3 linked regions of the Diceros bicornis minor genome follow. The protein of the gene in region 3 interacts with the protein of the main gene of each other region in a biochemical or structural test. Links are inferred from orthologs where the notes say so. Each region holds a gene or a part of one and is shown on either strand. Other genes may lie near its edges.

Region 1 (3,741 bases), on a different chromosome or scaffold from region 3:
GGAGGTAATGGAGAGGAGGTGCTGGTCTCTCCAGTAATAGAAGCTGGCTGGTCAGCTAGCAGAGGATGGGTTTTCAGGGAGTAGTATAGCAGTGGAGAGCCCGACCTTTAAAGAAAAAGGGAGTACGTGGTAATATGGGTGCATTGGTGCTTCGAGCGTTGGCAGCCTTCCTCTGGGAGGGGTTCACCCCGCTAGGCTAATGGGTTCTTCCAGCATCTAGAACACTGTGAGCTCCTGACTCTTCCTCACCTTTTGTTTCTTAAACACTAAAGACTGGCTCAGGTGCTGAAACATGTTGATTTTCGCCCTGCTCCTCCACCGTCTTCTGTTTAAAATACAGCTATAAGATTTATTGAAACCCTTTGTGTTGGTACCTCAGTGGTATTCTACATTAATATCCTTAAAAATTGAGGTTGTGTGCCACTGTAAGAAAATATTATTTAATATCGTGCCTCTACCATAAAACCTACATAAAAAGCCTTGGTGATCTTCATAAAGAGACCACAGATTTCAGCATTTATAAACACGAAAACATTTCCCTTCGGTTATTTCTAGAAATTCCTTCTAAACATCTGCGTTTTCTTCTAACTTAAAGTCGTTTCCCATCTCCTCTCCTGAGATCTGTTGCCTCTCTGTGGAAGAGGAAACTTCATAGCCGGTATAACACAAACAAACAAGCAAACAAAAACAAAACCTCTCAACAGCAATTCCTATCCGTCTCCAAATTTCTAATTTCTTGCACTTACAAAAAAAATTAAGTCCTAGGTTTTCCTTGTGTTTCAAGGATCTTGGGATCTAAATGGACAGATTCAACAACTTTGAAAACCTAACCAAACCTAAGATTTTGTTTTTATTATTTATTAGTTATTAAAATATCCAGCCTTCTGATTAAGGAAGGCTGAATGGCAAGAAGGACCGCGGAGGCGTGGCGGAGAAGTGTGAAAAGAAGAAATCCCAGCTCTGCCTGGAAGACAGCGTATGAAGGAGCCCGACTCCTCCGGCAGTTCCAGGCCGCGTTTTGCAGGCGGCCGCATCTGCCTCCCCTGTCTCTCTTACCTCCTTGATGTTCGGCACTATTTGTGGCCGGCGTGGTGGAAGGACACAGTGAGGTTTTCACCCCCGCCCCCCGCCCCCCGCTCCCATCCCCAGTTCCATCAAAGCGAACCCGGGCCAGCGCAAGGATCTCCGAGTTGCGAGTGTGCTGAGGCTGGGACTGTCACTCATTCTCTGATCAGCGCGTGAACGCAGCTCGGCAGCCGCTGGCAGGAAACAATTCTGCAAAAATAATCATACTCAGCCTGGCAATTGTCTGCCCCTAGGTCTGTTGCTCTGCCGCCATCCACACTCGCTGCAAGGGGGGGGGCGGCACAGAATTTACGGCGGCAAGAACATCCCTCCCAGCCAGCAGATTACAATGCTGCAAACTAAGGATCTCATCTGGACTTTGTTTTTCCTGGGAACTGCAGGTACATTTTTTAAATTGTTATTATTCTCAATCTGGTTTACTCATTGTCTCCCTCCCCTGGCTCTTTCCCCGAGGAACACTGTTATTTCGGATGGTTTTACATGGAATGCTAAGGGTGGTCATTTCCATTAAGCTGAGGAATGAGCGCGTCGCCCTTGCTGCCCAGTCGAGCCCCGCGCTCTCCTGGGCTGCGCTGGACAGGGGCTGCCTCCCCGCGCAGCGAGCGGCGGGCGCCCCTCCAGCGTGTCCGCCCTTCCCACTTTGTGTGTCCGCGGCGCTGGGAGCGGAGCCGCCCGCTCTCAGGAACGCTGCGGCCGCGCCGGTGTTGGGCAGCGCTCCTTCCCCGAAGGCGGGCGGCGGGGCGGGGGATGCGGCTGCTCGGTGGTGCCACCGCACAGGCTCGGATTCCGCCGGGAAGGGGCTTGTCAGCTCGGGCTCCGGGAAGAGTGAACAATAAGGCCGGGGAAGCCGCCTCCGATCGTTATTTCCCCAGGTCTAATAAAGTGGGGCTCGCCGCGTTCGCGCCCCCACCCCCCGCCCCCCCGCCCCGCCCCGGGCCGAATAGCGGTTTGCAAAATGGGGCGAAATGGGCAGAGTCTCAGGGCTGTGTGACCGTTGTTGCACCCCCATCGATATGACGTTAGTTTTTCATTTGCCAAATTGCTGGTTAGTTGCAAAGCCGGCTCTCGGTCCGGAGCACCGAGGGATGGGAGGGTCGAGCGCCGCGTTTTGACAGGAGGAAGTGAGGAGGGGCGGAGGGCGTGATCCGGGATGCCCGATGTGTGTGTGCGCGCGTGTGCCTTCACACGCACCTCGAGCCCCGTGTTGCACGGTGCGCGAGAAGAATGGCAGGTAGCCGCCCGAAGCACCTCGCCCCAGTCTCCTTTCTTTGGACGGGGTTCCTTATCCTTGCAAAGTGCGAACAATAGGGAGCTGGGAGGAAGACTGATGCTGCCATGGGTGGCGGGGGCTGTGCCGCCGCCCAGAGAACCTCGGCGGCCGGGAGGGAGGTTCATTTCATTTTGAGTATTTCCATCCCGGCCTCCCTGGAAGATTCTTCTGTGCGTGCCCACCCTCCCCTCCAGCTGCTCCCGCCACCCAGCCCCACCCCACCCTACCCCAGGATTTGTGCTTTGGACGGGAAGGGATAAGAAAAGGAGCAGGGGCCGCCGAGAGCTGGGTGGGGTGGGCGGACATTCTGCGCGAGGGGCGTGTGCTGGGGAGCGCCCGAGGAAACCCGGCGGAGGGGGCTGAGTCGTGGTCGCCGCTGCCAGGTGCCGCTGGAGCTGCTCTAGACGGCCGAGCCTGGGTGGGGGAGCGCGCAAGGCGGTCGGGGAGCACCCAGCGCGCCCCCTCCCCGGGCGGCACGAGAGCAGCGCTCGGCCGCCGCCTCCAGCCAACTCGGGTCCCTCCCTTGGCGACCAATCAGAGCGAGGCTGGCTGGGCGGGAAGCCGCGAGAGGCTTTTATTGCGGCGCGGGTGGCGGCCCGGAGCTGCCAGGACCGTCTCCCGGTGTTCCAGCCTAACGGTCTCGCTCATCCCCCGCCGGGAGGAACCCCGCCCTGCGGCCGGTACCCTGCTTGCCCCGCAGTTTCCGAGGAAATAAAATGGAATCCAGGTGGTCACTGGCAGGTGCCCGCCCACTCGCACCCCTTTCACGCTGACTTGGAGCATCCTCCCGCCGGCTTCAGCACACACTCCCGCCGCGTAGTCCCGACCTGAGCGCGTGGATTTGGAGAGCGCCGTGGCAGGGCGCTCCGACGCGCGTGCGCCGACCGGCGGGCAGTGGGCTGTGGGCGAAGCTGGGGGCGGGGCGATGCGGGGGCGGGGCCTCGTCGGGCGGGGGGTGGGGGGCCGGCAGAAGGCCAACGCCGGTCCGCACGTCGCTGGGTCCCCGCCGCCACCTGGCAGGGGGCCGCCCGGGGCTTGCCTTTTTCCATCGCGCCCCAGGTCTCCGCGGCACGACCTCCAGGCTCAGGGGTTTGTGTTTCTGAGACTTTCTCCCCTCTAGGTGGGGGCGTGACAGTGGAGACCTGATCTTTGGTGGGCCTTTGGGGGATTGCCCCGCAGTCCTTTCCGTCATCGTGATGAGTGTAGCCCTCAGTGTTTGGATCCCCGGGGAGTTGTATGCGGTACACGCCCAGGGAATCCCAGGTTGAGACGTTTGCAGCTGTCCAGTCAAAGGTGGTATTCTGACCAATGTTCCCTGAAAGGAATGCGTCCTCATTTCTGGCCCTAGTACTGTGAGGATGGGAAGAAGGCAGAGCATGAAACAT
Region 2 (3,741 bases), on a different chromosome or scaffold from region 3:
ACAGACATTTTCACACCTAGGTGAGCCAGCATCTCTCCGGGCCTCTAGTGAGTCCCGCCCCCATCAGGCCATAATGGGCACAGTGGGGTGTGGGGACAGCAGGTGGGGGAGGGGAGTTTTCCAGAGGCCTGCCAGGGTCCCTGCTAGGTTGGGGGCTCTGGCTATGGCACTTGAACGTTCCTGCTTCGGAATCAAAGGGGATGGGGACAGTGAATGTCCCCTGCGCCCTACCACCTGTCCTTGCATGGAGGTGGGTGTAGATGGGGTGCAGGGCTGTGGCCTCCCCTGGGTGCAGCCCCACTCCTCACCTCCTGCCTTCCCTTAGCAGTGCCTTCCTGGAGGCACCTGCTCAGGCGAAGCCACCACCTGGGATACAGAACTCCATCCCTGAATCACCCAGAGCGCAGGGGGCCCAACCCAGGGCTTGCCTCTCCCCGGCCTGCAGCGGCTGGGGTCTTCTTCCTCCCCCAGGCGCTGGTGTTGCTTCCTGCCTCTACCCACCCCTCATTCCCAGGTGGGACCGCATGATCCCCGCCAAGGAACCAGGTTCCTGGGAGTCCCTGAGGGGCAAAGCGCAAAGAGTGGCTGCTGGGAGCTGAGAGTGCTGAGGGTGCCGGCTTAGGGCGGCACCCAGGCTGCTGGAACAGAGGCTAAGAGGACACACAGATACGGGACGGGGAGGGACGAAGCACGAGGGAAAACTCTGGCTGGAAAGCAGGAGTGGAGGAGATGCGAGGGGCGGGACAAACAGGTCCGTGGGCCGGGCGAAGCCAGGGGTGGGGACTGGGGACCCTCCAGGTGGCACTCGCAGCGCTCGTCCCCGGCCGCCACCCCTCCCCCAGCCCTGATTGGCAGGCGGCCTGCGACCAGCCGCGAGCGCCACAGCGCCCCGGGCGCCCAGGCGAACGCGAACGGCCCCCCGCGGGAGTAGGAGGGGGCGCCCGGCTATATATAGCGGCCTGGCCCCGGGCCGGCCCAGCGCGCAGGGAGGCGCGCACCGCTCCGCAGGGTCCCAGCCCGGGTTGTGCGTCCTTCGGCCGCTGCCCGCCGCTCCATGCAGCCCGGGTAGCTCCCCGCGCCTGGGGGCCCCGTCGCTCGCTTCCCGCTCCTCCGTCGGCCGCGCACTCCCTGCCCGCCCCAGGCCGTGCGCTCCCGCGGGCCGCCACAGGCGCAGCTCGGCCCCCCGGCTTCCCGGGCGCACGGACCGACTGACGGACGCACGGCCCGAGGGCGGGGATGGCGGGGCCCGGGGCGGCCGCGGCGGCGCTGCTCCCGGCGGTCCTGCTGGCCCTGCTGGCGCCCTGGGCCGGTCGAGGGGGCGCCGCCGCGCCCACCGCACCCAACGGCACGCTGGAGGCCGAGCTGGAGCGCCGCTGGGAGAGCCTGGTGGCGCGCTCGCTGGCTCGCCTGCCCGTGGCCGCGCAGCCCAAGGAGGCGGCCGTCCAGAGCGGCGCCGGCGACTACCTGCTGGGCATCAAGCGGCTGCGGCGGCTCTATTGCAACGTGGGCATCGGCTTCCACCTCCAGGTGCTCCCCGACGGCCGCATCGGTGGCGTGCACGCGGACACGAGCGACAGTGAGTGCGGCGGGCCGGGCGGGAAGGGCCGGGGGGCCGGGGCGGCGGCCGCTCCTTCCAACTCGCGCACGAAGGTCCCGGGCTGGCACCTGCTCGCGGGCTCTGGGAACCGGGCGGTCTCGGGTTCCGGTCCCCCTGGCGCAGGGACGCAAACACTCCAGGTTCCGGGAGTCGCCGCAGGGACCGGCTTTGCCACCCCGGCGGCCGAGTCCCGCCTCTCCGCCTTCGGAAGCCCAGGCTCCTGGCGCCGAATTCCAGCGCCTTCGCCCGTGGGCATAGGGCGCACGGCGCAGCCACCGGCGCCCGCGGGGTCCCGGGACGCACGCCCAGGTCGGGCCCGGGCCCGGGGGCCGCCGAAGTCGCCTCCCTCCTGTTGTCCGGGACCGGGCGCGGCCGCCGCGGGTCCGGGACAGGCGGCGAGAGAGTCCGCGCCCGAGGTCGCTGGGCTCCGGGGGCCCTTTGGGTGCAGCCTGCGGCCGATATCCCGGGCCCTTTACACCCACCCCCACCCCAGAAATGGGTCCTGGAGGTTCGCAGGCCGATGAGGGGGTCCGGGACGGGCGGTGCGGGCCAAAGGTCCCTTGCCCGGGAATGACCCTCGCCCCGCCCCCAGGCTTGCTGGAGCTTTCGCCGGTGGAGCGGGGCGTGGTGAGCATCTTTGGCGTGGCCAGTCGGTTCTTCGTGGCCATGAGCAGCAAGGGCAAGCTGTACGGCTCGGTGAGTACAGCACCGGCCGGGCCGAACCCCCGGCTGGCCAGCGCGGGCAGCGTCGCTCGCCTACCCGTGGATCGTGGAACTGCGGAGGGGTCCCAGGATTGGCACTGCCCTCACCCCGCCAGAGGCCCCGGGGCCAGCCCGGAGAAGGGGGCGCTATTCCAAGACAGGAACAGTGAGCTTTCCGCCATCCCTGCGTGTCGGTCAAAGGGTGCCACTGGGAACCCTTGTCTGTAGCCTCTGGGGCCGGCCCGGCGGGCAGGACTGCAGTCTTTAGGGTGGACACAGTGGCTGCAGGTGCTGGGCAGGTGGCTGGAGCATCAGCTGCTGTAGCCTGACTGTGTGAGGGTTTGGGTACCCCAACTTCCCAGGAGAGACTTCTCAGCCAAAGGGGGGCGGCTGGGACAGAAAGGAGCCCCCAGGGTCCCTTGGCCAGGAGGTGGCCCAACCTAACACTGCTCCTCCTTCCCCCCAGCCTTTCTTCACCGACGAGTGCAAGTTCAGAGAGACTCTGCTCCCCAACAACTACAACTCCTACGAGTGCCACAGGCACCCCGGCATGTTCATCGCCCTCAGCAAGAACGGGAAGCCCAAGAAGGGGAACCGAGTGTCACCCACCATGAAGGTGACCCACTTCCTCCCCAGACTGTGACCCCAGAACTCTGCCTCAGCCTCAGGAGGCCGCCAGAGGGGAGCGCCAAGGACCACCTGGGGGCACTTTCTTTGGATGGACAGTTGAATGCCAGAGTAGGTGTAAGATATTTAAATTAATTATTTAAATGTGTATATATTGCCACCAAATTATTTATGGTTCTCTGGGTGTGTTTTGTATTTTTCTGGGGGAAAAAAAGAAAAAAACAACCCTGACTTTTCTGGGGAAACAGTGGAGATGCTTCCACTGGATTTATGGAATGTGTCAGATGTTGTCACAGTGTGCTGCTATTCTGTGTTTTAAAACTGGTCACATCAGACTCTGATATCAACCCAGCTTTGCACCGTCCCCTGTAGTTTGGGGGTGAGTATCCCTGTGGCTGGAAAGACCTTCCTAGGGCTTCGGAAGCCAGCCAAGGAAGCTCCCAGTCTCAGCCCCTCTCCTCGCACCCTCCTCTGCCCCACTCTTTGTGCCCCGTTGCTATGAATCAGGACATATCGGTTTACTTCGGGGACAGAAAGTGCACTGCCAGTCCCCTGCTGCCTCTCTGTTTTTAGATCTGCCAAGACCGACCTTTGAACTTTCCTGTAGTCAATCTTCCTCCATCTACCAGATGGGGGAGATCCTTGGACAATTTTATAAACTCCTGTTTTCCTTTTTGGGATCAGCCACAGCCCATGCTTCTCTGTGGCCATTGGGGAAAAGGCAAAAACGAAGCAATTTTGTAAATTGGAATCCATATCCCCCCGGAAGGCTGGAAATGGACAAGATGGGTGTATTTGCAACCACAACCTAAACC
Region 3 (3,741 bases):
TTTTCAGACACATGACGTCCAAAATCAAACAGTTCATAAGTAGGGGACCAGAATGGAGGTATCTTTCATACCTAGTGTGGCATCCTCCTCACCCTACCAGTGGTCCCCATCTTGGCACCACGGAGCCATAAAAAAAAGTACAGACTCTTTGCTCCTTCCTGGGACAGCCTGATTCCTCAGGTCTGAGCAGGTCCAAGAATATGTATTTTTCAGAAGTTCCTCAGAGGACTCATGTACATTTGGATTAGGGAACCACTTAGATTATACCATCCTATGGAAGGACCCAGGGGAAAGGGCATTTTAGCCACTTTTCCTGGGGTTCCATAGAGTGCTGGAGAGTGCCCTGGGTGGGAACGGATTAATTTCCAAACTAGCAACACCCTCCAGCTCCCTCCACTCATTCTTTACTTTCGAAACATTTACTGCAGGCTGGAGACTTCTGGAGGCCAAGAAGTGCGCTGTAGAATTTACCGGACCCAGCTCCCCGTGGACCCCCAAACCAAAACTATGTAGCTGGGGAACGTGAGATGGAAGGAGAGGGTCTGAGGAGGGGTTCGACCTTCTCCTGAATAAAAATAGCTTGTATTTCTTGAGTAACTATGTGCCAAGCCCTCACTTAATCCTCAACCCTATGCGGCAAGTATTATTATCGCCCTTTTACAGATGAGAAAACTGAGATGTCGAGTGAGAAAAGCATTTCTCCAAGACACACAGTCAGACTTCCAAAGCCCGTGCTACCACGGACAACCTTCGGGCTACAAGTCTCCTAACCTCACCCCCTAACCCGTTAATGTGTCCACGGCTTGAAATTCGGGCGCCCTCCTGGCGGTGCTCAGATGGAGGGGCACGCGCGCCAGAGGAGACCAGCGTGCAGGGAAGGAGGGGCAGAGTTCCAGGCAGCTCCGCCGGCTCCCCCCTTCCCGGGGGCCGCGGCTCGGGAACTACAAGGCCCAGCAGGCTGCTGCAGGGGGAGGAGGAGGAGGTGGGACCAGCGCGGGGTGGGAGTGAGAGAGCGAGCCCTTGCGCCTCGCCGGCGCACAGCGCTCGGAGCGCTCCTGCGGGCACTGGTGCGGCGGGCTCGGCAGCAGGCGGCAGCGAGCAGGAGCCCGAACTCTGGTCCAGCCGCCGCGCGCGGAGGAGCCCGGGCTGTGCCCGGAGCTGGGCGGCAACGTCCGGAGAGGACCGAGACTCTGCTTAGCGCATTGCGGCGACCTCGCCTTCCCCGGCCGCGAGCGCGCGCCGCAGCTGGAAAAGCAGCGGAGACCGAGGACTTTTCGCTGGTCCGAGGGGCGCCCCGCAGGGCGCACCGTACCAGGGCTGCAGTCGGGCACGCCGCGGCGCCGGGGCGATGGAGCCCGGTCTGCAAGAAGCTTGAGGCGCCGCCGCCCGGTTCTGGAAAGGGGGGCCACAGGGTCTGGAGACCCCGGGCGGCGGACGGGAGCCCTCCCCCCGCCCCGCCTCCGGGGCACCAGCTTCGGCTCCATTGTTCCCGCCCGAGCTGGAGGCGCCGAGCACCGAGCGCCACCGGGAGTCGAGCGCCGGCCGCCGGGCTCTTGCGGCCCCGCCAGGACCCGAGCGGAGCCCGGGGGTGGCGGGCCGGAGCCGGGGACGCGGGCGCCCGCACAAGCCACGGCGGACTCTCCAGAGGCGGAACCGCAGCGCCGAGTGAGGTAAGAGCCGCGGCGCCCCCAGATCCGGGGCGGGCTTGGCGTCCCGAGCGGCCCCCGGCGCCGGAGCCTCCCGGCTGCGCGCTCTCCCCACCGAAGCCCAGTCGGATCCGGCGCCTCCCTCTACTCCTTACCCGCCCCCCTCCAACTCCCGACTCCCCCCCAGCGCTCTGCGCCCCCCTTTTGTCTCCCCTCCCTTCCCTCCGCTCGCGTCGCCTCTGCGCCCCCTCCCCGCGCTCGTCCCGCCGCTCCTCCTGCCGCCCAACTTTTCCGCCAACTCGCGCTGAGGAGCTGGCGAGGCGGCGGCGGCGGCTCCGCGGTGAGTCCGGGGAGGGACAGGGCCGGGGCGAAGGCGGCAGCCGCCCTCAGTGTCCTCGGACTGGGGAGGAGGGCGGGAGTGGGCAGCGAGAGGGGGAGTGTGTGTGTGTGTGCGCGTGTGCGTGTGTGTGTGTGTTGCATTCCACTCCGTCTCTTTTTTGAATTGGGGACTCACCCCAATTCAGCAGGTAGCTTTGGGTGGAACCCTAAAAATTCAGGGTGTTTCTAAGTCCTTTTCCACCTCCGGGAAAGTCTGGGGTCGGGGTTTGGCGGGGGGGCGCATGATGAGGCAAGGAACTGGAGGAGTAGGTTAGCTTCTCTCCGATTAGGTTTTAAGGAGGTGTCGTCACCAAATGGCTGCATCTGCTTTAGCGGAGAGCGAGAAAGGAATTCCCTTTTCCAGAGGGGGTTATCTTCTATTTAGTCCATCTCAGAAAGGGTCGGAAGTTTGGGGAAGGGGAGGGCGCCCAGCGGGTGATGTTAAGCCCCATTATGGGGTCGGGGGGAGGGGAATGTTCAGTTCCAATCTGGTTCTAGGAGGTGGGGGAAGGGATGAGGGTTTTGTCCGGTGCGGTTCACTCGGCAGCGATGCATGTTGCTTCTCTGGCCCAGACCCTTCTGCCCCCTGCTCCCCTCTCGCATTATGTTTGGGGTTGGGAGAGAGGGGCTAGAACCCTCATCTGCAGAGGAATTTATGGACGTTATAGATGGAGTTCATTTAACACATGTCCTATGAAGGCAGCCAGCCGCCTTTGGGGAGGGGGTGTGAGACCAGCTTCTCTTTTCTGGGCCCGGAAGCTGTTCGTCCATTTAAAAGTTTCTGGGTGTCTTTCACCCCCAACACTTTTCCCCCCATTTTCCAGATGTAGCGGCCACATCTGGTTCCGTTTCTCCCCACACGGGTACACCGCAGCCACATTATTAACATCCCTCTTCCTCCCTTCTCTCTCCCCCAGATTAAAACTGAGATTCTTCGACTGGTCCTTACCACCTTCCTCTGTAAAATTTCTTAAGACTTGGAGGCTTTGGGATTGAGGGAGAAAAGAAGGTTACCCTGGATCTCGGGTTATTTAGGATCAGATGGTGGTGGTGCTTTCTAGCTTGTGCAGAAAAGAGGCATCGTGGGCAGGATCGTAGGAGATAGGGCCAAGGTCTTAGGGGGTGTCACTTGCGAAAGGTTCATCTGCCAGAGGTGGCCTCTTTGGCCATGGGTCTGACCCACAACTGTCCCTGACGGAAGTTTCTGGAACCAAAGCGTTGCTTTTTCGTCCCTTCAGTTACAGCTGGAGCAGCGGGAGCGTCGGACTCTGTCCGGAGCCCGCCGTCCGGTCTCCGGCCGCCCGGCGGTGGCGTCACGCGTCCCTTTTCCACCCTCTCTGGAGCGAGCCCGTGCGCGGCGGCCGAGGGTGTGTATGGGGGCGGGGGCTGTTGCGTGCTCCTTTGCGTTTTAAGGAGCTATTTGGGCTGCAGTCCCCGGAAATTGAAGTGGGCCAGTTTGCCACTTAAATAACGGCTCCAGGTTTGAAAGCAGGGGTGGGATTGTTGAGGAGGTTTTGGTAAAATCCTTTAAGGTAGGAAAGCACCTTATGGCCCAAAGTGGCGGCAGGGTGGGGCGAGTTGGTCTCTCTCACCCTCTCCTTTCCAGTCTCTTTCAAATTGAAAACACCGCTCTGGTTTCCTCCTTTGGGCGGTAGTTTTGGAGGCTGTAATGAAATCGCACTTTCTCTAGACATGGTAATTAACGTGCCTGTTTCCT

What was found.
Region 1: the proteins of FGFR1 (region 3) and NCAM1 form a complex in vitro, tested with the Homo sapiens proteins (2 studies listed by BioGRID and IntAct). The link is inferred for Diceros bicornis minor from reciprocal best matches to the Homo sapiens genes FGFR1 and NCAM1.
Region 2: the proteins of FGFR1 (region 3) and FGF4 form a complex in vitro, tested with the Homo sapiens proteins (2 studies listed by BioGRID and IntAct, with this or other methods). The link is inferred for Diceros bicornis minor from reciprocal best matches to the Homo sapiens genes FGFR1 and FGF4.

What each region holds. Positions count from the first base shown.
Region 1 is NC_080746.1:23,382,284-23,386,024, reverse strand, and holds the start of NCAM1 (neural cell adhesion molecule 1), read left to right. Parts: upstream 1-1,214; 5' UTR 1,215-1,414; coding exon 1,415-1,466; intron 1,467-3,741.
Region 2 is NC_080770.1:4,397,343-4,401,083, forward strand, and holds FGF4 (fibroblast growth factor 4), read left to right. Parts: upstream 1-938; 5' UTR 939-1,236; coding exon 1,237-1,576; intron 1,577-2,189; coding exon 2,190-2,293; intron 2,294-2,765; coding exon 2,766-2,942; 3' UTR 2,943-3,166; downstream 3,167-3,741. UniProt on the Homo sapiens protein: Plays an important role in the regulation of embryonic development, cell proliferation, and cell differentiation. Required for normal limb and cardiac valve development during embryogenesis.
Region 3 is NC_080768.1:35,047,755-35,051,495, reverse strand, and holds the start of FGFR1 (fibroblast growth factor receptor 1), read left to right. Parts: upstream 1-1,049; 5' UTR 1,050-1,670; intron 1,671-3,741. UniProt on the Homo sapiens protein: Tyrosine-protein kinase that acts as a cell-surface receptor for fibroblast growth factors and plays an essential role in the regulation of embryonic development, cell proliferation, differentiation and migration.